4 linked regions of the Diceros bicornis minor genome follow. The protein of the gene in region 2 purifies or fractionates together with the protein of the main gene of each other region. This does not show direct contact. Links are inferred from orthologs where the notes say so. Each region holds a gene or a part of one and is shown on either strand. Other genes may lie near its edges. The genes, in order: PIP4K2A, STK11, COPS8 and FKBP5.

Evidence for each region.
Region 1: the proteins of STK11 (region 2) and PIP4K2A purify together in Homo sapiens (affinity purification with mass spectrometry; 3 studies listed by BioGRID and IntAct, counting the BioPlex papers as one, with this or other methods). This does not show direct contact. The link is inferred for Diceros bicornis minor from reciprocal best matches to the Homo sapiens genes STK11 and PIP4K2A.
Region 3: the proteins of STK11 (region 2) and COPS8 purify together in Homo sapiens (affinity purification with mass spectrometry; 3 studies listed by BioGRID and IntAct, with this or other methods). This does not show direct contact. The link is inferred for Diceros bicornis minor from reciprocal best matches to the Homo sapiens genes STK11 and COPS8.
Region 4: the proteins of STK11 (region 2) and FKBP5 purify together in Homo sapiens (affinity purification with mass spectrometry; 8 studies listed by BioGRID and IntAct, counting the BioPlex papers as one, with this or other methods). This does not show direct contact. The link is inferred for Diceros bicornis minor from reciprocal best matches to the Homo sapiens genes STK11 and FKBP5.

The regions. Positions count from the first base shown.
Region 1 is NC_080775.1:22,294,887-22,302,720, reverse strand, and holds the start of PIP4K2A (phosphatidylinositol 5-phosphate 4-kinase type-2 alpha), read left to right. Parts: upstream 1-4,814; 5' UTR 4,815-5,028; coding exon 5,029-5,172; intron 5,173-7,834. UniProt on the Homo sapiens protein: Catalyzes the phosphorylation of phosphatidylinositol 5-phosphate (PtdIns5P) on the fourth hydroxyl of the myo-inositol ring, to form phosphatidylinositol 4,5-bisphosphate (PtdIns(4,5)P2). Has both ATP- and GTP-dependent kinase activities.
Region 2 is NW_026691553.1:693,820-700,866, reverse strand, and holds the start of STK11 (serine/threonine-protein kinase STK11), read right to left. Parts: upstream 3,010-7,047; 5' UTR 2,289-3,009; coding exon 1,999-2,288; intron 1-1,998. UniProt on the Homo sapiens protein: Tumor suppressor serine/threonine-protein kinase that controls the activity of AMP-activated protein kinase (AMPK) family members, thereby playing a role in various processes such as cell metabolism, cell polarity, apoptosis and DNA damage response.
Region 3 is NC_080776.1:24,644,437-24,651,533, reverse strand, and holds the start of COPS8 (COP9 signalosome complex subunit 8), read right to left. Parts: upstream 3,015-7,097; 5' UTR 2,948-3,014; coding exon 2,870-2,947; intron 1,831-2,869; coding exon 1,760-1,830; intron 615-1,759; coding exon 566-614; intron 1-565. UniProt on the Homo sapiens protein: Component of the COP9 signalosome complex (CSN), a complex involved in various cellular and developmental processes.
Region 4 is NC_080753.1:29,091,717-29,098,658, reverse strand, and holds the start of FKBP5 (peptidyl-prolyl cis-trans isomerase FKBP5), read right to left. Parts: upstream 3,007-6,942; 5' UTR 2,907-3,006; intron 2,576-2,906; exon of another isoform or gene 2,427-2,575; intron 1-2,426. UniProt on the Homo sapiens protein: Immunophilin protein with PPIase and co-chaperone activities. Component of unligated steroid receptors heterocomplexes through interaction with heat-shock protein 90 (HSP90).

The sequences.
Region 1 (7,834 bases), on a different chromosome or scaffold from region 2:
ACTTCCTTTCTCTTAAGGATTCTTTGTGGTCTCAGGCAACCTTCCTCTCCCCCTACATATAGGAAAATAGTCTGTTCCAATACAGACTTAGTTCAAAAATAACTATAATATACAGCAAGGAGTAACTTAAAAGGCTATTCTCTTATAGGAATTGGGCTACTATGTTAAATGCCATTATTCTGTTATTTATTTAACCAGAAAAGATTGTTGCATTTTTAAAAATTATTATTAAAGTAATATATATGCATTTTAGAAAATTTGGAAAATGCAGAAATATATTTTTAAAATTATCCATAATCCAAACTGCACTCCTTATATATCACTGTTACCAGTATGACATATTTTATTTTAGTCTTTTACACATATACATTCACATACACATTTTATAATATTAAAACCATACCTATATACAATTTTGTATCCTGTTTTTTCACTTATATTAATATCATGGTATTTTATGTCATTACATTTTCTGTGAAAGTATCATTTTTGCTGGTTGTGTTAAAGTCTGCCATATGGATCTACTGTCATTAATTGCTCTCCAATGTTGGAAGTTACTATTTCCATTATAAAAGTATACATAATAAAGATATAATGCCATTGGAGATTGACTCCTGTCCTCCACACAGCCTCCTGTCTTCTAAGGGGGCTGTTCAAGTTCTCATCCTCTGCTTGGGGAGTGGAGAGGAAGTGGGGGCAGGATGGAAGTGTTACCCTATGTGTTGGCTCCTTACATCCAGTCTTCTCCCAGTCCAATCTCCCCAAGTCAGGCCAACAAAACAGCTGCCAACTAAGTGGTAAATTCCTGGAATTGCTGCCACTGTCCTGGAAGTCCTAGCCAGCTGCAGAAGCCAGGAGATTCACCATCAATATTTCAGTTGGGTGGACAACCTCTACCAGCTGGTGCCAAACCACAGCCATCCCAGGAGGGATTTGGACAGCACAGCTAGACCCTCAGAACTCCCAGATGGCAAGCTGTACCACATTATGTCAACACCTTCCCTCTCAAAAGTAACTCACATGTCATAACTGAATTCTTGGATCCCATTTATTGCATTTTGGCTGGGTTTGACTGTATATGCACTTTAATAATGGTCTTCCAAAATCATAGCATTTTGAATGGCAAAGCTCTGGATGACACTACAGAAGATAGAATGGAATTGTCCCAAATCTTGCTCTGATCTCCTGACAGAGCAATGAAAAGCATAAAAGCTTCCAAATAGCACTAAGGAAGTTACTGAATTCCTCTTCTCAACGAAGAATTCTTCTTGGAATCATTCAATTGGGGAAGCTATTTTTTGATGAAAATGGTAATAAAATAAAAAATCAGAGCATCCACTCTATTTCAACCTCCATTTCTGGTATTGTATACTTTAGTCAACATTATACTTTTACCATGCTCTTCTAGAATAGTAAATACAGTTGGTTACAGTAAAAGAAAGTGAGAAGCAACAGGAATAACAAGCAGAAACAAGTCAGTATTGGGAGGCTTTCAAGCTTCCCATTTCCTTCTCTCTTCTTAGGGAAGTTGGCTGCTGGAGCATTTCTTGCAGCTGTGATGGCCTTGGAACCTGGATCAACAGCCCAACAGGCCAAATGCAAAGGGGTAGGAGCAGCGTTCTCCTTGACTGACAAGACCACATACCCATCCTGCGATGGAACTTCCTTGCTCTTCTTTCTCTAGCCATGCATCTGGTTAAGATCATTGTTGAATGCTGGCAGTTGGGTTGCTTCAATCCTTGACAACACGAGCAGCCTGAATAAGGTACTGAACCAAGGATATACGCATTGTTTCCTTATCACACAAACTCCAGATGAAAACAGTGATCAAATTGCTACATTGCTAAACCCACATAGTATCTAACCCTCAAATTTAAATACTACATCTAATCTAACCTAATTTCCCAGTAAAGTATATCTGAATGGAGACTTGCACAAACATTTCCTGGGTGTGGAATCTTTACGTGTAACTTTGTTGTGAGAGGTGAAAATTTCCTTTTCATTTATTCACCAAAACTTTGCCATAAGTGCTATGGAAAGGGAGTATGTTAGGTTCATTGGGAGGATACAGAGTGAGTGCCACATGGACTCTGCCTTCAAAGAGTTTTTTGTCTCCCAACAAGTCAGGAAATCATTTAAATTTCTCTTGATCTCAGTTGTCTAATGCATATAATTTGAGAAGTGGATCAGGTACTTTCTGAGGTCATTTCTGTGACTCTCAAACTCCTGTATCACACACTCCCTCTGCAGAGTACAAAGTTAATGTGAGAGGTCATTGGCAAAGTCATTTAATGACCTACTTATGAATGGCATTATATGAAATGCCATTCAAAGCAACTTAACTCACCAAAAATCCTATCCCTTAACAGTACTGTATTATATACTTGAAAGTTGCTAAGAACGTAAATCTTAAATGTTCTCATCAACACCTACACATACACACAAATGGTAATTATGTGTGATGGAGGTGTTAACTAACCTTATTGTGGTAATCATTTCACAATATTACATGTATCAAATCATCAAATTGTACACCTTAAGCTTACCGAATGTTACATGTCAATTATATCGTAACACAGCTGGAAAAAAAATTCTGTCCTTTAAAAGCTGCAAGTCTCCTTACTATCTGACAATATCACATGGATTTTCATCTCCATGCCTATGCCCCTGTCTGCCCCCAACAGAGATGACACCTCGTGCTCCCCATCATACCTTACCACCCTCCTACTTAAAACCTCACTTGACAGTGCCCACGGGTATCCACCTCCCCTTCCTGTAGGCTCATTCAACACTGTCATCACTAAATTCAGTTTTTTAGCATTTACAGCTAGCCTATTGTCTTGCATTATTAATATACAGTTAAGTACAATAGAGCTGTTATGAAACAAAAGTACTACGGAAGCACTGAAGTGAGTGGATTAATTTCAACTAGGAGGATTGTGAGAGCACCCGGAGAAGAGATAATATTTGAGCACAATTGCTTTCAAGGGCAGGGCCTGGTAAAGGGGTTTATGTGGAGTGGTGCTGAGAGGCAATAATCAATGATGATGCTAAGCTTTCAATCCTGGGTCAACAAAAGTTTGTTAAACAAATGAACTTCTAGCTAGGGTAATTGAGTGATATGAATGCCTTTTCTAACATAATAGAAAAATGAAGCAACACGTGGGATGGAGAAAGATGCTGAACTTTGTTTTAGACACCTTTTTAGGTGCCTGTGGACAATTGATGTAGAGATGTTCAACCAGGCATTTCTCCAGGGTCCAGGGAGAATTTATGAGTTATCTGCAAATACTTACCTTTTATCTTGTATGTGTATAGTGCTGTATGATTACAAAGCGCTTTTCATAGCCATTGTCCACTGTTGATTTTGATTCTAACAAACACCCTATAAAGTAGTAAGGCAGAATTATACTACCAGGCCCAGAGTAGTCCCTAAAGTGACATCTGTGTCTGATTATCCCTATTGTTAACACAAAGAACCTGATGCTCAGAGAGAGAACTGATTTGCTGAATAAGTGGGAGAACTGCGCTACAACACGTCTTCTTACCACAAATTTAGGTGTGTTTTTTTAACCACTAAGTGGTGATGGTTGATGCTGGGGGAGCAGACATCATTTTGTACAGCAGTATGAAACAAGAGGGAAAGAACTCCAAGAGGACTTTGGGGCAACCCCTACGTCTAAAGAACCATGAGAGAAAGAGGAGGAGCAAATGAAGGCGACCACATGACCTGTACTCCCCATCTCCATGAGACTCACGCTCCTCAAGGGACAAGGGTCTGTCATCCTTTGTCTCCCTGACAGAACCAAGCAGATTACCAAACACACAGTAGGTATCCACACAATAGGTATTTGAGTGGAGTAATAATGACAATAGAGAACATGCTTGCCCAGTGCCCTGAGTCAGGGTAAGTCCTAGAACAGCATGATGATTACCGAGGAAGATATAGAGTTGGCAGGTTTTTAGACATACTTGGAATGGTAGCTGACTCAGCTGGGTCAGGTAGTCCCAGTATTAAGAAGGGCTAATTCAGGGATGTAAGGAACACCGTGGATGAAGATGCAACTTCGGGCATGATCGGCCTGGCCAAACCAAGGGCTCCCGATGAGGAATGTAAAGTCTTGCCCAGGGAGGGTTTTGGTGGTGGTAGAAATGACAGCCCAGCGTATTAGGTGGGAGTCTCCCTTCTGCATGACTCCGAGAGTGTGGGAAGGCCCAAGTCCAGGGTCCTAAAGGCCCGATGGTTAAAGGCACAAAGGGATTAAGAAATTCATTCCCGCCCCACTTCGGGAGGCGGCCAACGATGCGCCCTGCTCCTTTCCCTCGGTGCGAGGGAAGCCCTGGTCTCCATGTAGTATTTCAGGTCTCACTAGCTCTCCTGACCTTTGGCACGGTGAGTGGCCGTTCCCTGAGCCTCCTTCACTCGCCTGACCACCGCCCTCCTCCGACCTCCCCACTCTCCCCATCCTTCCTTCCTGGGGAGCAGGAGGGGATGCCCTGCAGGCGTCCTCCTGCTCCCCGCGCCGCACGCGCCCCCGCGGCCTCCTCAGCGGGCCGGGAGCGGCGGCCCGGAGCTCGCCTGCGCACAGACAGGGGGCGGCCGGGCCCCGCGGAGCCCGAGCGGGAGCCGGAGTGCGAGGGCGCAGCTTAACGGCCCCGCGGCCGCGCCCCGCGCCCCGCGCCCCGCCTGGCGGCGCCGCAGCTGCTGCCCGCCCGCCCCCTGCGTCATGACGCCGGCGCCCAACGCGGAAGCCGCTCGCGGCGCGCCTGGTCCAGCCGCGGGCTGAGCGCCGAGCCGCGGCGGGCGCGGGATCCGGGCCGGGCGCGAGCCGAGCGCAGCCTCCCTCCCCAGCCGGGCCGAGCGGGCAAAGCGGGCCGAGCGGGGCCGAGCGCGCCGGCGGTCGGAGCGGGGCACGGCGCGCCGGGGCCGCCGCCGGGGGGATGCGGCTGCCTCCCCGGGCCGGCGTGTAGAGAGGGCGGGTCCCCGGCCTCGGGAGCGCGGCGGTGGAGGGGACAGAGGCGGCGGCCATGGCGACCCCCAGCAACCTGGGGTCCTCCGTCCTAGCGAGCAAGACCAAGACCAAGAAGAAGCACTTCGTAGCGCAGAAAGTGAAGCTCTTTCGGGCCAGCGATCCGCTGCTCAGCGTCCTGATGTGGGGGGTAAACCACTCGGTAAGGGCTCGGGCTGCGGCGCGCAGTCCCTTTCCTCCTCCTCCTCCTCTTCCTCCTCGCTCCCCTCCTCCTTCTGCTGCAGCTGCTGCGGGGCGGGGAGCCCCAGCGGGGCCCCGGCCCTCCGGCTGCTCTCCCTCCGGGGCTGCCCGCCCGCCGCGGCGCCTCGGTGCCCCCAGCCTCGCGGCGCGCGCCCGCCCCTCCGGGCCACCTGGGCGCCACTTGGACCCCCTTTGGACGTAGGGCCGGGTGCAGGACGAGGGGTTCCGTCTGCATTTGAACCCGGCGGCCAGTGCCGCCCCCCGGCCGTCCGCCCGCGGGTCTGTCCCCGCACCCCCGGAACTGGGAAGTTTGTGCGGGGCCCGGCTGCGCCTGGGCTGTCAGCCCCGGCGGGGGCTGCTGGGATCAGTGTCCTGGCGATCGCTCCCTTCTGTGGCGGCGGTGGGGCGGCCGGGTCCTCCGCGCAGGTGTACCTGTCCCAGGCTAGGAGCGTCCGGAGCCTCCCCGCGGGCGAACAGGGATGAGAATAGTGGAGATCCGGGAGATTGGAGCAGCGGCTTAGTGCTTAGGTCCTTTTTTTCCTTTAAAGGCGGTATCATCGGACACAAGGAATCTTTTGGGCAGAGAAAAAGCCCGTGTAAATATGGCACTGGTGTTTTAGCATCTTCCTCTGCTCTCGCCCGCATCGCCCTGCCGCTGTGCCGGCTGAGGAGCTGCTTGGCGGGGAGTCTTCCTCCCCACTCCTCCTCCCCCACCTTGGGGAGCCAGGCCGAAGTCACCGACTGCGGAAGGGCGGCCCGGGGGATGACAGCGGGAGGGAGTCTTGGCAGGCGCGGATAGAAGGTGGTCTTGGGTTGACTGCACCCGTTTGGGGAGCTTGTTTAAAAGGCTGGAGGAGAGCGCTTGGAAAGGTTAGCTTAACACCCAGCCGGAGGTGATGGAAGGTGCGCCGCTGGGGGCTATGCGGACTGCGGTTTGAGGGTCTGAAAAAGCCTCCTGCTGATCTTCCAGCGAGAAACTCCTGCAGTTTTAATCTCCTTAGAATCAGGAAACATGATCGGAGCTGTTGGCTGAGCCGTGCAAGTTTAAATGAGCCTGTGAATTTTGGCCGTGACCTTACTCACTGCAGTCACTTGGCATCTGAGGAAAAGTGTAAGCTTGGTTTCCCTACTTTTGATTTCAATGGATGTCTGTGTGTTCTTTTCAGCATAATAGAAATGACAGAAAACCGTGTTGGTGTTTTAAAGAACAGTCTCAATTTAATGAAGGTGTTTAAAATGGCTCAAAAGCATTGTATTTGTATTTTTCTTCTGCCAGCTGAGCTGGGGAAAAAGGTGAAACAGTACCAGGATTGATTGTGTTTGCATGGAGTGACTGTTTTTAAGAAGGTTGAGAAATGATTATTTCTATCAGCCTAACGCCTGATTTCTTGAAGTTCATTTTAACTTCCTGACAACTTCTTTAGCAATTAGGAATGTAAGCTTTTACAACAGCATATATTAATGCACCAAAACTCTCCTGTTTTATTATAGTAAATAAAATGAAATTTTTCCTACGTAATAAGTCTACAATTTAGAGTTATGTCTAATTCTGTAAAGCTTTTTTTTATTATTTCTCTTGTTAGTTTCCTTTTTAAAAAAATTTATGTTGTTAGTTCTGTATTTATGGGTGCTTTTATCTCCTTTGGAGTTGTGTTTTGGTCAGGAGTATGTTTGTATCTGAGTTTAATCTAGTAAAGTAGTGTCAACAATATGCTGCTGAAAAAGAGTCTGAGAATTAGTCTGAATTCCAGTTTACTTTGGAAAATCTTCTAATTGTGCATGTTTTACTGTAACCATTTGTGTTGCTACCTTATATTTATGAATTGCTACATTTGTTTAGACTTTCTTGCTAGTTGGAAATATTTTGCAACTACTTAAGGCTTATAAAATAATGTATGATTTGTAGACAGTGAATTTCATGTTATTTTCTTTTGCCTACAAGAAAAGTTAGCAATTCTAAGTATCGTCATAAAAGGAGTCAAGTTTCCATAGTGTGTAATGTAACAATGTTATTCATTCAGCAAATTATATTGGGCACATAGGGTCAGCCACTGTGCAAAAGATTGCTCAAAATGCCCCTCATATTTTTGTCCAAATATCTTTATGTTGAGGGCTCTGAGTTGACATAAGAAAGGTCTGTTTCACAGCCTTGTTTTTCAAAATGTCAATTTTCTTTCTTATTTTTGAAAAAAAGAAAGGACGTATATATAAAGATGAAATCTAAGCACTTAGTGCCATGTATTTCTGGTTGATTTCATTTTAGGTGACAAAGACTGACATTAGATAAATGTTTTTATATGACCTTGTGTGCACCAAAGTTTATAGTATGAGAATAAATATGTCAGCATTGTTAAGAAGGACCAAGCATAGTGTTGTATATGAATGGGGATATTTGACAAAGCATAGCAGAGAAGGAACAGATCATTCACATCAGTTTTTCCCTACATTTCTAATGTGATCAGAATTAATGGGAAAAGATTTGTCATGAATATATAGCAATTTCATGCTTTTAAAATTCATTTGGGTTTGTCTTAAGGACAATTAGAGATAACCATACACGGGGCGGCCCTGTGGCTTGGCGGTTAAGTGCGTGCGCTCCGCTGCTGGCAGCCCGGGTTCGGATC
Region 2 (7,047 bases):
GGAGCAGAAGGGAACTCCTCGGGGTGGTGAAGCGTCCTCTGACTTGACTTTGGGCGCGAGCGTTTCTGAAAACCAGCGTCTTGATCACACGCACACAAGGCCTTAGCAAAGGTGGGCACTTGCCCACCCTGACACCCCCCCCCAGGGACCCCTCAACTCTGCTGCCACCAGTTGCTGCCCCTGGCCGGGTTTACACACTGAAGCCCCAGGACGGCCAGCAGCTGGGCTCGGGTGCCTCCAGCCACACAGCCCAGTCGGAGCTGGGACCCGGCCCCCTGGACCAAACTCTGGGAGACCCTCCTACCGCAGGGCGCTGCTCCCGAGAGGCTGGGGCCTGGGGCACCACAGCACCAGAACACCCCCCGGACCCGGGCCGACTCCACCCTGGAGGGCTCGGCCAGGCAGGAAGAGACCAGCACCCTGTTCCCGGGACAGAACGGGGCACGAGGCCTACCAGGAGCCAGGACAAGGAGGGGCCCTGGAGAGCGGGAGGGGATCTGTTTCCAGAGTCAGCACCCAGAACGCAGGAGCTCACTGTCCCCCACCCGAAGCTGGGGTAAACCTGCTAGGCAGCCGCCTCACCCCCACGTGCTCCAGGCTTAACGAGAAGCCAGCAGTGGAGTGGGGATTTCTGACTGGGGTGAGGGGTCCCCCAGCCTGTCTCTCCCCAGATGCTGTGGCCCCCACCCAACCCCCACCTCACAGGTAAGAGACTGGCACAGGACTGACGGAGGGAGGGGCCGGGGGTGCCCGGCCACGCCTCCTCCCAGTGTCCACAGGCTGGGTCACAGAGACTGAGAAGACCTCACCCCAACACTGCCCACCGTGCCGGCCGACCCCAAAGAAGCCTACTGCTCCACCAAGCAAGGGGCACCGGCTCTGGAGCCCGTGCCAGCCCGGCTTCAGTTCTCGCTCCGACCCCAACACCAGCACCCCCAGGCTGTCCCAGAGCAGGAAAACAGCCAGCTCGCGGGCTGTGCAGACAGGCAGAGCGGGCCGGGCCGGGAAGGAGGCAGGTGAAAGCGGATCCGGGGGCAGCACTGCCCAGGACGGGCCTGGCAAGCTTGTGGACCGTCCAAGGTCATAAGTCAGCCCTGCCACCAGCCAGCCTGTTAGATAAGCCACTTCTTGGAAACCGGAGGCTGGGAGGGGAGCGTGCGCCAAGGGGCGGGGTGCACCGAGGCGGCAGCGATAAGGGGCCCCCTCCTGAAACTGGCAAGAGGGAAGGAGGCAAAGCTCCCCACCTCCGTCCTTGGGGCAACTCTTGCTCACAAACCCCAAACCTGCCGAGGTGCCTGGGGCAGACGGGCTCCAAAAATACTTGTTTAAAAAGTTTGCTGGACACAAGCCTGTTCCCCTCTGGGGGAGGGGGGAGTCCCCGGGGCCTGCAGTCACAGACACGTCCAGTGTCACCACCCAGGCCGGCAAGAAAGGGCTAAGTTGCCCCCTGCTGACTGATAAGCCGGTGCAAACAATCACTTGGCCACCGCAGGGCTCCCCTCCGACAGGATCAACAAAGCGTGTTGGCCTGGCCCCAGCGCCGGCCGCACGCTGCGCCCAAGACCTGCCGGCGGCCCTGGCGGTTTCTGAGCACACGCTCTCAGGGCCAAACACTGGCTGCTTGCACCGGGCACCCGAGTGCTCCGGACAGCTGGGAGGGTCGGGGGGAGAGGGGCGCGCCCCCTTCGGAGGAGGGCTTGGACATCCGCCCCCCAACAGACTGACAGGCGGACGCCCCGCAGCAACAACCTGTCCCGACTTTCTGAAAGTACTTAAGCGGGTTTCCAAACATGCTCTTCCTGGCAGGGAGGACTCGGGAGCTGGCTGGTCAGCTCAGGTTTTTAAGGAAGGGGAGGACGGAAGGAAGGGAGAGAGGGAAGAGGGAGGGAGAAAGGAAAGAAAAAAGGAAGGAAGGAAGGGAAGGAGGGAGGGAGGGAGGGAGGGCGGGCGACCAAAGTCCCCGGCTGGCGGCGCCCGACCCAGGAAGCCCAAACTTACTTCTTCACGTTGGCCTCCCCATTGGGGATCCTCCGCAACTTCTTCTTCTTAAGGATCTTGACGGCCCTCCTGCACAGCGTCTCCGAGTCCAGCACCTCCTTCACCTTGCCGTACGACCCCTCCCCGAGCAGGTCCCCCATCAGGTACTTGCCGATGACCTTGGCCCGCTTGCGGCGGGGCTGGTAGATGACCTCGGTGGAGTCGATGCGGTGGATGAACGTGTCCATGCCCACGGACATCAGCTCGCCCTCCGTAAATATGCCCAGCTGCTGCGGGTCCGCCGCATCCATCCTGGACCCCGGGCCTCCGACTCCGGCCGGCAGCCCTGACGCCCCTTACTGTAGTCCCGGGTGAGCGGTTCTTCCTTTCGTTCCCCCCAAAATTCCCTTCTCCGGAAAAAAAGTCAACAAAAACGCAAAAAAAGAAATAAAAAAAAACCCTTCCTCGAAAAGAAACGATTGTACGAGACGAGAGTTCGAGAGGCGCGCCTGGTCCGGGGCGCGGGCGCCGACGGTGCGGGGCGGCGAGTGCGGGTGCCGTCGGGCCTCGCAGCTCCGGGTCGTTGGGGCGCGTCCACGGGGGCCCTCGGGGCGCTGAAGTGCTAGGTCATCCTCCAGGGACTTCAGACCCTCGGACCAACGCGGCGGCCGCAGAGCCGGGTCTCCACCGGGCCGTCCATTACCGGCGGGCCAGGGCGCGCGCCGGGGCCCCGCGGCGGCCGGCCGGTCCCGGGACCCCGAGGCTGGGCGGACGAGCTGGGCCGGGGCCGGGGCGCGGTGTTGGGGGGTCTCCGCCGTCCCGGGCGCCCCAGACGCCGGCAGGTGCCTATCCGGACAGCGCGGGGGGCGCCTCCGTCCGGCCCGGTGCGCTCTCGCCGGCCCCGGGCGCGCGTCGGGGGTCCGGGGGGCTGCCCGGGGCCCTCGCGCCGCGGGGAGCAACTTCCGTCGGATCCGGCTGCCCCTGGGGCGCCCCCACACCTGCCGGGGACCCCCGAGAGGCCGCGCGCGCCCGGCGGGCGCCCCCCGCCCCAAACGGCAGCCCGCGCTCGCTCTGCGCCCCGAACGCCGTCGGCCGCGGTCCTCGGGGCGCGGGGGACCCGCGGGGCTCCGGGGGGCCGAGGCGGCGCAGGCCGCAGGCCCCGGGCCGGGGGTTCCCGAGGCCGCCGGGGCACGGGCGGCGCGTCCCCCCGCCGCAGTCGCCGCGCGCGTGAAGCAGGCGGGGCGGCGCGGGGGCCCAGCCCATGCAAGGCGGCCGCAGTCCGGCCGCCCCGCCGCCGCTGCCGCCCGCCCCTCGCCTCACTCGCGGGCGCCCCGGGCCGCCTCCCCCTTCCGCGCCCGACACGCCGCCGCCATCTTGTTTACCTCCCGCCCCCGCCCTGCGCCGCCGCGCCGCCGCACGCCCGCCGCGGGGCCCGCCCCTCGCGGCGCCGACGTGCCCGCCCGTTGGCTGAGCCGGCAGGCCCCGCCCCCGCGGGCTGCCCTGTCGCCGCCGCCGATTGGGCCATTTGGACCCGGGGGGAGGGCGAGCGGGGATTGGCCCGCGTGCGGCCCCGCCCCAGGGGTGGATACGGCTCGCTCATTGGCCCGCCGAAGCGCCTGTCACGCGGAGGGGGCGGGAAGGGAGCGTGGGGAGGCGAGGCCGCGGGGTTGACCTCGGAGGGGTTTGAGGCTGGGGTCGAAGGTCGTGAGTGCTAACGGCCTCCTCGGAACGGCCAGGGAGTGGGCACCGCCCTCGTGGGCCGGGATGCGGCTCTGGGACCTTTGGGGGTGACTGCTAGGGCCCCTCGTCCGAAAGCCCCCTGGAGGCGAGGTCAAGGGTCAAAAAGTAGCCCAAAGTGGCCAATGGGAGGCAAAAAGCCATCACTAGGCATCAATGGGGCTGGAGGGCGAGAGAGGTGCTCTGGACGGTCTCTACCCTAAAGAACTCAGGAGCCAAAGCTCAGAACAGAGCGGGGGCGGTGCCAGCCAAGTGCTTTGGGTGGAAAACACAAAGAATTGGCACAATACTGCTCCATGAAGTTGAAAGTACCTCCCATACCTGAATTTTCTGCCTTTCTGCTTTTTAGCACTAGATTATTCTTTTGTCAGAGCAAACCGCTTGTCTTGAGTAAAGCTCTTGTTTCACAAATAGCCAAAAAGTGGAAGCATTGGGGCTCAGGGCTGGGGGTTCTGAACCCGAGACCTGTGAACTCCCTAAAACTGCACGAAATTGAGCGTGCCCATATGCATGTTGTTCCGGACATCCATGAGATTCACAAATGACCCGTAGAAGGGGATTGGTGTGGCTCTGAGGAGACAGGGCACAAGCCACAGCAGCAGACCAGCAAGCCCTAATAAAAATGTGTGGATTAGCCCCAAATTCCTTTCGAGAAGGAATTCATAAAGATCAGAGCAGCAACACATGAAATAGAATAGAAAAAGAATAAAGAAAATCGATGAAACCAATGATTGTTCTTTGAAAAGATCAAAAAAATTGGTAAAAGTCTACCCAGATTGACCAAGGAAAAAAGATGACACAGGGGCCGGCCCGGTGGTGCAAGTGGTTAAGTGCGCGTGCTCCGCTGCGGCGGCCTGCGGTTCACCAGTTCAGATCCCGGGCGCACACCGAGGCACTGCTTGGCAAGCCATGCTGTGGTGGCGTCCCATATAAGGTAGAGGAAGATGGGCACGGATGTTAGCTCAGGGGTAGTCTTCCTCAGCCAAAAGAGGAGGATTGGCAGATGTTAGCTCAGGGCTGGTCTTCCTCAAAAAAAAAAAAAAAAGGTGACACAGGTGAGAAATGAAAGAAGGGATGTCACTACAGACCCTACAGATAGCAAAAGGATTAGATACTGGGAATAACTCTATGCCCATGAATTCAACATCGTAGTTGAAACGGACCAATACCTTGAAAAACACTGAGATAGAAGCTCACTCAAGAAGAAATAGATCATCTGCATAGTCTTATGTCTATTCAAGAGATTAAATCTGTACTGAAAAACCTTTCCACAAAGACAATTAAGGCCCAGATATCTCGTTGGTGAATTTCCACCAAACATTTCAGGAAGAAATAACATCCGTTCTAAAAAATCTGGCCTGGAAGCAGAAGAGGAGGGAACACTGCCCAACTTAAATTCCTTTCGGTATCCTCTGTGTTTTTGAGTGCTGCCTTAAACTGAAATTTCTTGGAAGCTGGGGGTGTGTTTGACAATCTTGGCCCATGTAGGCCCTGCTCTCCTTCGCGGAGCCCACACCCCTCTCCCGATGTGCAGGAGACATGGAAGGAACTTGGGAAATGTTTGGTGACTGTTGCAGAAAGAATTCGTGAAGGTGAAATCTCGCCTCAGATGCCACCTCCTCCGAGAAGCCCTCCTGGTGATTCCCTGGAACGCTTGTCACCTTCAGAAATTTTCTCATTTATATATTTCATTATCTGTTTTTATTCTGTCTCTGGCACTAGACTGGAAGCTCTTGGGGGCCGGGGTCGGTTTCTCGTGGTCACTGCTGCATCCTCAGCAATGAGAGCTGTGCCGTCCAGTACAGCAGCCGCTGTTCACATGTGCCTATTAAGCTCTTGTGATATGGCTGCCAAAATTGAGATGTTGTGAGTGTAAACTACACACTGGATTTTGAAGGCTTAGCATGAGAAAAAATACATATAATATCTCAATAATTTACATTGATTGCACGTTGAAATGATATAATTGGATGTGTTAGGTTAAAAAAAAATGTTATTAAAATTAACCACTTCATATCCACTAGGAAGGCCACGATCAAAAAAATGGGCGATGACAAGTATTGGCAAGCATGTGGAGAAACGGGAACTCTCATACAGATGGTGCAGCCACTTTCGAAAAAAATTCAGAAGGTTAAACATAGTGTTACCGTATGGCCCAGCAATTCCACTCCTCGGTATATGCCCAAGAGAAACGGAAACTCACATCCACACAAAAGCTTGTACACAAATGTTCACGGCACCTTGATTCACAGCAGCCAAAAAGTGGAGACAACCCAAATGTCCATCAACGGATGATGGATACACACAACGTGTCCATCCACACACTGGAGTATTACTCAGCCATGAAGAGGAGTGAGGCCCTGACACAGCCACACCGTGGATGGACCTTGATCACACGATGCTCAGTGAGAGAACCAGACACAGAGGGACACGCGGTGTGTGTTTCCACTGATGTGAAATGTCCAGAACAGGCACATCCACAGACAGAAAGTGGGTTTGTGGTTGCCAGGGGCTGGGGAGGGGGTGGAGAGTGACTGCTAGGGAGTACAGAGCTGTTTTTTGGGGTGATGGAATGTTCTAAAGTCCTCCCTCCGTCCCCCTCACAGGTGAGCCGACTGAGGCTTGCAGAAAGGAAGCCACCTGCCCAGGTCCCTGGTGGAGCTGCGTGCCCAGCCTGGGAGCCCCAGCAGCCTTGCGAGGATTCTAGCACCGTCTGCTCAGCGTGATGGGGGTCTCGGAGCTGTTCAGCTGTCCTGCTTACGTAAAAGTTCCTAGCAAGCATCAAACCCAGGGCAGGCCAACACGGAACCAGATTTAAGAGCCCTTCCCAGCATCACAGGGCCTGAGACCCCCGTGGGGGCTGCTCTAAGCCTCTCCAGGGACCCTCTCTCGGCCCCAGCCCTTTGCCCGGCGGAAGTCCTCAGTTGGGGGGTCTTGGCCTCTCACTTTCCGTTTCTCTGAGTGGGGGTTAACAATACCATATGTCATCAGATGGAAGACGCTGTGGCAGTGACATGTTCTGTGACCTTAGGAACCACCACGGAGAGAAGACTCGGAGACAGCGATGACGCTCCCGACTGAAAGAGGCAGCCTGACCTCTGGGGGGGCAAACTGTGACGAATGGGAACGGTAGTAGCAGGAACAGACGAAGGTTATGAGTACCTGTGGTCGCCCTGGGAAAATCCTTTCTCTGCATTCTCCCATCCTCACCCTCCCGCAGGTTTTGTTAAGAGCCCCGAGTGACAGGTGGGACCCCAGGTTAGAGGTGGGGTCTCAGGTTGCCGTTGAGGGGCCCCAGCTTATAGGAGGGGGCCTCAAGTTACAAGTGGGGGG
Region 3 (7,097 bases), on a different chromosome or scaffold from region 2:
CCAGTTTTGCAATAAACACCACTCTAGGAAACTGCAAAAATCAGTTAAAAAAACAAAACAAAAACCAAACGTTTATCTAAACTGCCTCAGTTATTTACCAGGTCAAGAAGTGACCTGGTAAAAGAAATCTTAAGAAATCTGACCCATAGGAGCTGAACACAGATTTCTATACCATCCAAAGCAAAACCAATTGATTAGAAGGATTTGTAGATGTATTTCTTTTTTTTTTTTTTGCTGAGAAAGATTCGCCCTGAGCTATCATCTGTGCCAATCTTCCTCTACTTTGCATGTGGGTTGCCGCCACAGCACGGCCACCAACAAGAGGTGTAGGTCCGAGCCCAGGACCTGAACCCAGGGCACTGAAGTGGAGCGTGCTGTGCCAAACTTAACCACCAGGCCATGGGGCCAGCCCCCTGTAGATCTATTCTTAAACTTTAATACCAGTTTAATAACTATTTCTGTGAACCACATGGATTAAAAAAAAAAAAAAAACTTTTAAGAAGTTGCCATTTAAATGAACGTCATTACTATATTAAGTAGTAAAATATATCGAAAGAACACTTACAGATTTTATAGCAGGTGGTATTCTTTTCCAAAGATATCTTGCATTATTCCTAATTTACATCCCCCCAAGAAAGAATAAGCAATTAAAAAAAATCACCAGGGTAAATGCTTAAATTCTAGATCCCAATGCAAACACACAGAAGTATACTTTAAAATACTCTATATAATACAGAGTGAAATTTAGTTGTATATCAATTTGTTTAGGGGAAGTAAGAGCAGATTTCCAAACAAAAAGACACGAAATATTTTTACCAAAGTAACATTTTGCCATTTAGTGAATTTTTATTAATGATCCAGATCTTAAATTAAGGCAACAGTACACTAAAAACACAGACTTAAACAGAACTGCCTGCCTAAATAATTTATTCATATATGTAATGAGCAAATGTACACACTTTCAGAGCTCTGGCATTCCTTGACAATACGACTGCTACGCAATGCTTTTATCCTTATCATGACCCCTCCTCCTACCAGTGGGTAGAGAGCCACCAAAACTTCAAGGCAGTTTTTAAGAGTCTGGAAGCTTGAACTACATCAAACATATGACGACGGGATTACAAAAAAACAAAACAGGTAATTTATATGATATATGTGTAATAAAAATCTGTTTCGTTTTTTAAAAAGATATGAAATGAAAAAGTTTAGAATTTAAAACAAAATTTAGCAGTAATCATTGATGGGCCCTACAACTACAAGGGACTCCTTTTGCACACTTATGCTTTCTGACCTCTCTTCAACCAACACCAATCAGGAATAATTAAAAAACAAAAGCTTTTAAGAAATCTCATACATGTTGGTAACGAACTCCTCTTAGCTTTCTCAATCTTCCCTTTCAGTTTCTCTTGGTCTACTGATTACACGTGAAGTTAAGTAAACAGAGGTCATAAGAGAGTTTTATAAAAATACAGAAAAGAAAAAGTCAAAAGAATTAAAGGAATTTATTGACACTGTTGTTTCTCATAACAAATTGGAATGTTTTTTAGAAGGTATATGTAAACAAGTGTATTTTAAAATAACTTAGCCTAGTCATAGTTTCTTAAGTCATGACTCAATAAGGAAACAGGTATACTGACTATTATAATAAAAGATATAGCTCCTTGTGCCTATGTTTCAGCGACGCTACTTCAATGCAAGAATAATTTCTATATAACCTTGAGGAAGCTGCTGCTCTTAGCTTTAGGTAGGAGGTACTTACATGTCATTATGGAGCAGATATAAAGCTAGAAGCTGACCATACACTGGGGGTGTTGCAATTCCTCCAGGAGCCTAAAAGGCCAAAAATGAAACAGAAAAACCTCACTATTCCTATATTTTTATTTTTAAAAAAGCATTTTATTAACACCAATCTAAAAAGTAAGCATATTTTATAGTACTTACTGTAATAGATGTAGAAGTATCAAACACTAAAAACCAGAGTTTCAAGTTTAAATCTGTCCTCAGCTGTGATTTATCTCCCTCTAGGCCCCTGCATCTTTATCCTCACAAGAATATTTAAATGGGATCCCTTACCCAGTTCTCAAACTCTCATTTAAACAGTCTTAGTATCACCTACAAGAAACAAATATTCCCAACAGATTCCTAAAGCATTATGACCCTGCCCATTAGATCAAATACGTGGAATATCTAAGTAAATGAGTGATCAACAGAAAAACATCAGAGCATCAGAACATTTGTCTCCTCATTCAAAAAACATCTAAGTGTCTATCAGTGAGTTGCTACTTGCGGCTGCTGTCTCCTTTAGTCAATTAACTTTTTATACTAACGTTATAAATGCTTTTTAAGTGCCTTTTTAAGGAAAACACTAACGTTAATAAGTGCATGATGATACAACTTTCACCTGTCTTGCTGTAGACAATACGGCAAGCTTACATGATAACACTATGAGACTAAGAAGGGCTTTCTGGGTTAATAAAAGGTTAGAGTGGTCACATCTTCTTTGGTCTGTGTGTGTGACTGCACAAATGTCTTTGATAAAAGCCACATTCCCCCACAACGAGAAGTTAAGATGTCTAGACCAATTATTACGGAAGCATATTGGAGGATGTCAGGAGCAAAGACGCATGAGGTTTTCGGGCTCACTAGATGAAGACACATAACAAGCTCCCAGCGAGGTCGCGGAGGCCGGGCCTGGATCCCCAGCCTTCGGAGCAGGCTGCAGCATCCCGGGCTCCACACGCCGGGCTCCCGCGCCGCCAGGCGCCCGCCCCAAGGCCTGCGGGCCACAGGCCCCGTTACCCTGGAGACTGGCGCCGCCCGGGGCCGCCTGCGACCCCGCAGTTTCTCCCAGCGCCACGCGAATGGCTACCTCGAGCTCCTGGTTCTCGCACTGATCCAGCAACTTTTTGAAACTAAAGGCACTTTCCGCCATCACTGCCACTGGCATCTTCCCGGCCGGTTCTGCCGCTGCACCTTCTCAAGACCCAGATACCTCACCGTCCCTCGGGGCGTCGCGCCCGCGATGACGTACAAAGCCGCCTACGCCGCCGCGAGCCAGGCGCAGGCGCGCCGTCGGTTCCGGCGCATCGATGGACGTCACTGCGGCCGGGCGGGGACGCCGCCGCTCCGGCCCGCACTCTCGGTGCTCTGGAGGACTGGCCAAGCCTCGCGGGAAGCTGCTTTAAGCGCGGGCCCGAACTCAGGGTGGGAGGGGATTTGTGCATATTTGCGGACTATTAGATGTCTCCACTTTGAGGCTTGATACACAGGCACACTTAAAGGCTCAAAACCTAGCTTTTGTTTCTCCCCCAAACCCGCCCCTTCAGCAGCCCTTCCCGTCTCAGTGAAGGGCACACCGTCCTTGCGCGCGGGGCTCCTCTCCTGCAGACCCCACGTCCGGTGAAGCTGCGCTCGCTGGACCACTGACACTGCTGAACTTCCGTGCTCTGCTGACTTCCACGCCTGCCTCCCTGCAGGCTACTCCCTACACAGCAACAGCAGCCAAAATGATCTCTTCTGAAACATAAACCAGATCTTGTTGCTCTTCTGCTCATATTCCTAAAATCCAGAGTCCTTGCGGTCGCTTAGGCTGCAAGTTCTGATTCCCAGATCCTATCCGACTTGCTTCAGCCATCCCGGCCTCCTCAGTCTTCTGCACAGTGCTTACTGCTAGCGCACATTACATTGCATATTGTTTATTTACATATTTGGTTTGCTGCCCTTACTAGACCACCAGGGAAGAGGCTTCGATTTGTTCCCTGAGGTAGGATTGGCTACATAATTTGTGGGCACAGAGAAAATTGAAAATGCAGGACCCCTTGTTCAAAAAACAGGAGTGTCATGAAAGGTAATATAATATAAAACTGTTTCCTTTGTTCGCAGTGTCTCTCTCAGCTTTTCATAGCAGTTTTTAATTTGCTATTTAATATCATTCTAAGTAAAGAAAAATGGAAATTTTAAATTATTAGCTTGAATTTTACCACCCATCTTTATATTGTGCAATGCTAGTGTTAAATACAAATATAAGTGCATTTAACTCAGGTAGAATCACAGAAATTACACAATTCTTATCTCAGCACATGCGTGCATGCATATTTTGTTCTTATCAGAACCTTGGAAATGCCACACAAAACTAACTCAGCTGTTTTTCATGCACTTGGTTTTATGCAGGTGCTCTACCACCACTTTCTACCTTAGGCATTCTGATGAGTTAGGAAGAACTGAAAGGAAAAGGAACCGTCCCTTTCCTGCTATGTAATCATTTTCATCACAGTCAAAGGAATATTTCAGCATAATACAAGGAAGTAACATCAGTAAGAAAGAATAGGATAGGGTTCCTTGATTGGCTGTGTTTCCTAGGACACCATTGCCTTCAGTTTGCATTTGAAGCAAGTTCAGGTTCTAAGGGAAAATGTGGCCTCTCTGGGCTGTCAGTGCCCAGCTTACTCTATTGTAGACATAATACGCTTACCTTGTACTCACTTTGAGTCTTGCTGAACTCCCCACCATTGGGTCCAACAGGAATTCTATGTTCATAGGGTATTTTAAACTCTATATGGAATGGCAGTGAACACGCATATTTCACATATCTCTTCACTCACGTGGAAATGCTCTGTGATCCCAAAGGGCGTCATTTACCAAACACAAGCTCAAAGATAAAACTATTAAGAATTTCAAGACAGTGACAGCCTCACTGATTATTTTTGCAGAATCAACAGTTTCCATGTGGAAATGATTGTGTTTAGTAATGCTTTGGATGGACTATAAAGATTACAAAATCACTCCAAAAGTCCCTCAAAGTCCTTAAATAGGAAAGCATGCAAATAGCAAGTATAACTAGAGACATTTTGGAGGAATAAAGCCACAAAGTTGCATGAATCATACGAAGAAGGAAAGGACTAGGGCAAAATGATTCTAAGGTCATTCGACATAAGTTTGAGGAGCAGGATTTTGAATTTTCAACATGTAATAATGGCTCCCAACCTGTTTTGGACAGAGAAAGATTTTGTTGCATCAACTGCCTGGCAATTTGATCATTTAAAGGGAAAATTATGATTTTAAATCTTTGGGAAGTGCTTTGGGCTGCAAAAGGTGAAGATGTAATAGATGGTTCTTTGCTGAACAGAAAAATCCCAGTGAGGCTTTGGAAATACCATCACAGCTTAGAGGTAAAGTCTGGGGTGTCATTTAGAGGACCAAACTGTTCTTGAACAGACAGATACAAGGATCTGGGAACTGGAGGCTGACAGCTAGAGAGGGGAGGAAGGGGGTCTTGGGAGAGGGAAGGAGGGCTCTGGGGGTGGGGAAATGGAGCAATTGGGGCCTAAGGCAAGACCCTGGCCTGGATTCAGAGGACTCCAGGTGGCAGTGAGAGGCTGATGGATTTCCAGGGCTGTGATGGTTGATATTCATTTTTCAGTTGTTACTGTACTGTGCTGCATCTAACTTTACCCCTAAACTTTCAATAATAGGAGAAGTGAGGAGTATGATAAAGGGCAGTGTGGTGTAAAGCCAGTAATTTCAGGTGGTGGGACTCAGAAGAGAGATCAAGACTTCGTAGGGGCCGGCCCCATGGCTTAGCGGTTAAGTGCGTGCGCTCCGCTACTGGCGGCCCAGGTTCGGATCCCGGGCGCGCACTGATGTACCGCTTCTCCAGCCATGCTGAGGCCGCATCCCACATACAGCAACTAGAAGGATGTGCAACTATGACATACAGCTATCTACTGAGGCTTTGGGGAAATAAAAGGAGGAGGATTGGCAATAGATGTTAGCTGAGAGCCAGTCTTCCTCAGCAAAAACAGGAAGATTAGCATGGATGTTAGCTCAGGACTGATCTTCCTCACCAAAAAAAAAAAAAAAAAAAAAGACTTCACAGAAGCAAGACAGTAGAGAAGAGGCCACCAGAAGGAAGCTCTGCTCCCTGGAGATGCTGACTCTGGGGCAATGAGAGGCTGCGTTTCCCACTGCACTTGGGATGAGGGATGGTTCAGCACACTGAAGGGAAGTGTGGGCTCCTGAGGCTGAAGGATGTGGGTCTCATATCCATTCCCCCTGGCTTAGCCCTCTTGTGCAAGTTGCCCCTCCTCTCTCAACTCTTGTCAGAGGAGAAGCACAGTCATTGAGGAAGTTGGAAATTGGAGAATGGCTAATTCAGAACTCTGAAATTTCACCTGGTTCCTGAGGAATCCACTAAAAAAATCTATTAGAACTAATCAATGGATTCAGCAAGATTGTAGGATAGAAGATCAATATTCAAAATCAGTTGTATTTCTATACACTGTGAACAAACTGAAATTAAGAAAACAACTTCATTTACAATAGCATCAAAAGAATAAAATACTTAGGAATAAATTTAAGAAAAGAAGTGCAAAATTTATACTCGGAAAACTATAAAATATTGTTGAAACAAATTGAAGAAAACCTAAATAAATGGAAATACATCCCTTGTTCATGGATTGGAAGATTTTATATTATTACGGCAATACTACCCACATTCGGATTCAATGCAGTCCCTATCAAAATCATAGATGGCTTCTTTGCAGATATTGACAAGATGATCATAAAGTTCCTATAAAAATTCAAGGGACACAGAAGAGCCAAAACAATCTTGAAAATGAAGAACAGTTAGACTCACACTTTCCAATATCAAAACTTAACTACAAAGCTACAGTAATCAAGATAGGGTAGATGTGTAGGTCAATGGATAATAAGAGTAGACATATAGATCAATAGAATAGACTGAGAGTCCTGAATTAAACCCTTGCATTTACAGTCAGTTAATTTCTGGCCAGTCTGGCAAGGCCATTCCATGGGGGAAAGAATAGTCTTCTGAACAAATGGTGTGGGGACAACTAAATATCCATATGCAAAAGAAGGAAGTTGGACCCCCTACCTCACACCATTGACAATAATTAACTCAAACTGGATCAAAGACCTCAATGTAAGAGCTAAAACTAAAACATCATTAGAAGAAAACGTAGGGTAAGTCTTCATGACCTGGGGTTATGCACGAGTTTTTTAGATATGACACCAAAAGTCCAAACAACAAAAGAAAAAATAGATAAATTGAATGTTACCAAAATTAAAAACTTCTGTGC
Region 4 (6,942 bases), on a different chromosome or scaffold from region 2:
AAATGTACATATTTAATTGTTCAGCATTAAATAATTACAAAATTAAGTGTGCCAAAATATGTACAACATAGATTCTTCTTTAGGAATTGTGAAAAATTATAGTAAAGGCTTATAGAGGATATTCTTAATGCCAGGTATAACATGCATATTACTGTTATAAAGTATTATTAATGTCTAACAGTGTCATTTGATTTATTCTCAAATTTGGCTGTTTTAACATAGGTCCTTGTTTTTTGTGGCTTTATTCATTCAAAAATATTTGCCCATCCTCAAACTCAAAAGGAGCCACGCCTGAGAGTAACTGACTTAAAAACGCTCCCATTGTTTATTGTGTAGAAGAATTCAACTTATGCTTAATTTTGAAACTGAAATGTGGTTGATAATTTTATGATATGGTCTACCACAAATTAAAGTGGACAAAAAATTAGTAATTAAAATATCTAAAAATTGAATTTGAAAACGGGCTTTTAATTAAAAGGCACTTTTATAGTTAAAGCTCCTAAAACATGCTTTTGTGCAAATAAAACTATGAAATATAACTTTAATTTATGATATGTAGTATATTTAAGCATTATCATAGGATAAAGATTATAAAACGTCTAATTACACACAGTAGCTAAACTAATATATTCCTATACACTTTAAAGTGCAATTATATAAATCATCCAAAACAATGAGAGCCCCACTCTTATAAGATTGCTTACAACTATTTATATAGAATAAACCCATTCTACATGAGGACGAGTCACTGTTCAACCAATCTACCCTCACTAAGCATCAAAAAGCCAATACAGCTTTTTAATAGCAATAACCTCTTCTACAGCTATAGAAAGAGGATGTTCTTTCTTCTCTAGACTAATTTGTTCTAAACTAAGAAACATTTTAGGAAACTAGCCTATAATATGCATTCTTTTCCAATCCAAGAATAAACTGAAAATTGAAGATTTAACTAGCTGCCGAATCCAATATTTTAAGTTTTTCATGTTGAACTGGTTAAAATTATGTTTTAAAAAATAAATTAACCCAAAATTCCCATAACTGAAAAAAAGATTCAGAAACATACTTGTTTTGTTAAAAGTTAGAAAGACAAAGAACTCATAACATACAGGCCTGTTGTTTTAGAGAAATAAAACATTTTATAAAGACCATCTCTATTTTTTTTAAATCTCAAATAGTCACAACTAGCCTATTGGTTAAAGAGTTCACCTTTAAATAGTGTTACTAATTAGCTAGGTAAATAAGTAAAATTACCATTCAATGAAATATTAATAAAGTAGCATTTAGATCAAAATTACAACTTTGTTCTTAAGAAGTTAAACTTAACATCTCAAGTATAAATCATACCCAATACAGATATCCAACGAGACACATAATAGGAAAAAAAACGAGTAAGCTAAATCAAGTGTTTCTCACAAATGATGACTCTTATTAACCCTCATTTAAAAAATATTTTTAAAAAACATATTGATAAACTGGTCAGGGCCTAAAGTGGTCAAGGCCATAATTGTAGATTGTTAAGCGGAGGTCAGTTGGGAGACAGAAAATAAGTGAAAGTATGACAAATAAAAATTTCCCCCAAGAATAAGAAGTTCTTCAAGGCTATCCTTGAATTTTGATTGGAACACCAAGAGAAAAAGCCACTATAATTCTCTAAAGTAAGAACTCTTGGTGGGGGAGCTCGGCAGAACTCCCACAGACTACAAAAATACTTAACCAAAATATGCCTTCACTTTTCCCTCGTCCACAATCTAACAAAATGAGAAGACAATGAAAATAAACACTCCTGTCTACCCTCCCAGAGGCAAAGAAAGCTCCCATTCAATGCTAAGCCTTATTCCACTGGAAAACATACTCCTGAAAAGTAAATCCAAAACCACGAGCTCAAACTGCTTCATGCAGAATTTACTGAATGGCGGCCAAACGCTGTACACTCTGTCCTGAACCACACTGAGGATATCTAGACTTCTGCATTCTCCATTTACAACTTGTACCTTCCCAGGCTTTCGCCACCACTGCAGAACCCGAGTTTTTAAACGAGACTACAAGATTCCCCCTGGCTCGTGCATCGAAAGAAGGCAACCCACACGCTGACCCCCCAAATGGTTTTTCATCGATACTGGGTTTGACGCCTCTACAGTCGCCAGAACACCTTTTTAGACTCAATGAGGCGTCAGAACGCCCCAGGAGGGAAATGGACAAGGAGCCCTGAAACAACTTTTCACTGGCTTTCACCTGGCTCTAGAGTATCACCTGTCAGAAGAGCGCTGCCCCGGCACCCTCCAAGAGCGGCCGAGAGCGGGATGCTGTTCCCACTCACTCGTCCCAGGGCGGCAGGTGAAGGCGGGCCGCGCGCATCCACCCCCGCCGCCCGGGGAGCGCAAAGCGAAAGCCGAGGCGCCGGCCGCGGGACCCTTCGAGATCCTCACCCTGCACAGGCCCCGCCAGGTGAGCGCGGCTCCATCGCGCCCCGCTCGCTGCGCCCGCCGCCCGGGCCCCGGAAGGCGAAGTTGCTCTCCCGCCCGCGCCGGCTGCTGCTCACGCGCCGCCCAGCTCTCCGCGGGTCCCGCCGCCGGCTCCCGCCTCGGGCGAGTCGGGCCGGGACCTGTCACCCCGGGCGGGAAACAAAAGCCGGGTGAGGACGGGCGGGCGGGCCCGGCCTCGCCTCCCCGAGGGGAACGCGGCGGGGCGGGAGCGGCTCCCGGAGGAGCCCCGGCCCCGCGCCTGCCCCGCGTTGGGGCTGGGGGCCTCCGGCGCGCCGGCCTCGAGGCTCCGCCGGCCGCGCGCGCCGCTCCCGGGCCGGGGAGCCGCGTGAGGGAGCGGGGAGGCGGCCGGACCGCGACGGAGGGAATTCGGCTCCCGGGGCGCCGCGGTCGCCCGCCCCATCCCTGCGGCCATGGCGCCGGTACCTGCCGCCGCGCTCGCCCGTCGTCTCCGTCTCTCTCCGCCTCACTCGCACGCCGCTCGCCCCTCAGCCCGCCCAGCAGGCCGCCCGCGCGCCGGACGCCGCCGCCCGAGACTGGCAGCGCCCAAGAGCCGGCCCGAATCCCCCGGGCAGCGCCCGGCGCCGGCCCGCCCCCGCCGGCCGCAGGACCCGCCTTCCATAGGGCCCCGGGGCTGTCAGTCCGCCCCCAAAAGGCGCGCGGGCTGCCGCTCTGCCTGTCCGGATTGGTGGCCGCGCGCCGTCCATGCAAATGAGGTCCCGCCCCCGTCCATTTGCACCTCCGCCTTAGTGTAACCTCCGCCTCTCCGCACCAGCCCACGTGTCTGGCCGTCGCCCTTTGTGGAGGCCGGAGTGGAGGGGTGGAGGAAAGCGACCGGCACCCCCTCACACCGGCCCTTACCTCTAGAGAAACGAACACCTAAACAAGCTAGTTGACTTCACATCTGAATCGTCTCTCTGAAAGCTCTGACCTCCTATCGGTCCAGCCGCCTGCCAGGAGGATGGAGAGGGGCAGGCTTGGCTGTTTGTGTCAGGTAAACAGGCCAGGTTAACCCCAGGAAACAACCCCAGGAAGTCAAAGATGCCCAGTCGAAACTGGGGAAAATCCCATCTCAGAACCGATTTAGCACAGAGCACTTCTCTCTGGACACTGGGAGCCTGGGAAGAATATGCTTTCCCGTGGCTTTTTACCTTTCAAACATGAGATTCCAGGCGATTGGGACGGCAGAGGACCTTGAAAAATGTGTGTTCTCTGCCCCCGTCCCCTAAAAGGTCGCCTGCTGAGCAAACTCAGCTTCAAGAGGGGCACAGGCCTCTCCAACCAGATGGCCACCTTTGAATCGCTCCCATAGAGATTCAGATAAGGGGACTGAACTAGCTGCACCTGGGCCTTAGGGAATACCTAGCTCAATCCCCTCGTTTTTGAGGAAACAGAAGCCTGTAGTCCGTTAGCTATGGGACTTAATAGTTACCTATGGAAACCTAATGTCTCATAGCCAGATGACAAGCCGCATTTCCTAGCTCCAAATCTACTCTCTGCACTATATTACGGTGAAGAGTCTCTTCTACAAATCAACAGTCCTGCCTTCAAGAGGTAGGGTCTGCAGAAGAGACAACTAGAGCCAACACTGAAACCTCCTCAAGGGCAAGAGCCCTGTCTCAGGGCCTAGAAGCTTTCCTTTTTACCAGCTGCCAGGGAGAGTCGCTCAAACCACTTATGTATGCGTTAATTCAGAAAGATGACTAAAACGCCTCTGCATACCAACACCAATTGATTAAGCATCTACTATGCTTAATAACAGCAAGTATTAAGCATTGTGCTATGTGAAGAGAATACAGAGGTGAGCAGAAATTATCCCAGCCCTTGACGCCTGAGAGACAGTGACATCCACATTACATGTCAGTGCTCCTCATGTTACAAGGACTGTGACAGATGTCTGCAGAGGGCATAGTGGAGGGCTCCACAGAGGGAGGAATCGGCTCTTCCTGAGAGAGGCAGGGAAGGCTTTATTGAAGCGGTGACACTAGAGCTAAGTCTTACAAGATGGACTCTTAAAAGATGGTGTTTGCCAGACAGAGGGATGTGGAAGAGGGAGGAAAGGGGCTCCTGGGCAGGGAGGGATAAGCATGAGCAAAAAGCATGCAGACCTGGAAAAGCCTAGTAACTGAGGGAACAGTGAGGAGCAGTGTGGGCAAATCTGCAGGGCCATGTGGCCATGTCACATGCTCTGAGACCAGGCTCTCCCAGGAGGAAGACAGAAAGGCCCGGGAGGCTGCCAGGCTGTGTTGTAACACACCGCGGCAAACAACAACAGGCCCTGTAGATACAGCTGCAGGCTTTTTTTTCTAGGCCAGAGTCTGTGGGGAACAGTCAGTTCCACAGTTCCGATGGCAGCCTGGCTGGCCCCACCCACTATCTCAGAAAACCACTCCGGTCACTCACTTGCCCTCCTTGGCATTTGGAAACACGTGTGCTTGCATTTTCCCTAAACATTGCTGCCCTTCAGAACTCAAAGATAACGTGGGCTCTGGCTGCAGACACCTGGGTGTGGGATGAGCAGCCCTTTCCTAATGCACAGAGCAGTTCTTGGCAGGGCCTGTTACCAAAGCTGGCTTCATGGGCATGTGACCTGTGCTTGGTTTAATGCTCTGCTGTCACCATCTTGAAATTCTTAAAAATTTTTCAGTGAGGGGCTCTGAATTTCCACTGTGTGTTGGGACCTGCAAATTAGGTAGCCAGTCCTCCCTGTTGCTGTTAGTTGCCCCTGGGAATGCTTGTGATTCTGCTCAAACCATATCTCATTCTAAAGCAGTTGGCATTCACTAGATTTGTTCACGTTCATCTTGTCATTTGGTTCTCACAGTGGCAATGTGGGGTAGGTCAGTATTACTAGTTCCATTTATTAGCTGAGAAAACTGAGGTTTGGCACCCTTCTCCCGGTGGCCCAGCTAGAAAGTAGCAGAGCTTGTACTTGAACTCAGCCTACCCAAGCCCTATTCCATCCACTATGGAGCTACCTCTGTGTTGGTTTCAGAATCCTTTCACAAGCAGATTTGTACATGAAGGATGTACTGTTTTAATAAGAGTCAGAACACATAGTGGAGGGATATATGTCATTTCATGGCTGCCTATCACCTTTTGAATAGTTTTTCATCAATTTTTAAAAATTCTCAACCATTATATGTTCAAATACTGTTTCTGTACCTTTTCCTCTTTCCTTCTGGGCCATCAATTGAAACACGTATTAGACTTCCTCACTACATCTCTTTCTTCTTTATTTTCTATCTTTTGTCCTTCCATGCTTCATTCTAAAAGTTTAGTCCAACTATTTTTCAGTTCACTAATTCTCTCTTCAGCTTTTTAAAAAATTCTCCTCTTGGGGCTGGCCGGATGGCATAGTGGTTAAGTTTGCACACTACACTTTGGTGGCCTGGGGTTCGTGGGTTAGGGTCCCAGGTGCAGACCTACACACTGCTCACAAGCCATGCTGTGGTGGCATCCCACATACAAAATAGAGGAAGATTGGCACAAACGTTAGCTCAGTGACAATTTTCCTCAAGCAAAATGAGGAAGATTGGCAACAGATGTTAACTCAGAGCCAGTCTTCCTCACTGGAAAAAAAAAATGTTCCTCTTAAACGCATCCATGGAGCTCTTAAATTTGGTTATTCTTTTTTTTTTTTTTTTTTTTAGTTCTAGAATTTCTATTTGGTTCTTTTTCAGACATTCTGTGTCCCTTCCCTTCTTATATCTCTTAGTGCCTTGCTATAATTTTCAAGCTTGGCTTTTCTCTCCATAGTAAGTATAGTTGTTTTACAGTCTGTGTCTGTTAATTCCAATCTGCAGTCCCTGTGGGTCCACTTCCGTTGTCAGTTTTTACTACTGGTTCTTCCTCATGTTGTTGTATCTCCTCAGGTATCTGGCTGTGTTTTGGATGTTGTATTTGAAAGATCATTTGAGGCAACGATGATAATATCTTCCTCTGGAAAGGACTTCCATTTGTTTTAGCAGGCGTCTGGGGACACCAGCAAGCTAGGATCACCTTAACCCAATTTCAGGACTCGGTTTTCTGAGCCTCCCAGATGCCTTGAGGCTGGACTACAGTCTGTGGGAGATTCTGTTTATTTATGGTCCCCCTTTCCTCAATGCTGCAGTTCTTTGAGGTCCCAGGCGAAGATGGGAAGTTGTTTTAGTTGTATATTGCTCCATAGCAAACTATCCCCAAAGTTAGCAGTTTAAAACAGATGTCAGCGGAATTTTTCTTAAAGGGCCAGATGGTAAATGTTTTAGGCTTGCAGGCCATATGGTCTCTGTCACAACTACTCAACTCTGTCATTATAGCACAAAGCAGCCACAGACGATACGTAAATGAATGACATAGCTGTATTCCAATAAAACTTTATTTACAAAAACAGGCAGCCATCCTCAACCTGATAAAACCCCACATCTAGTATCTATGTGGGTTTCATAGAAACCCACATAGTTTTTCATAGAAAAACCCA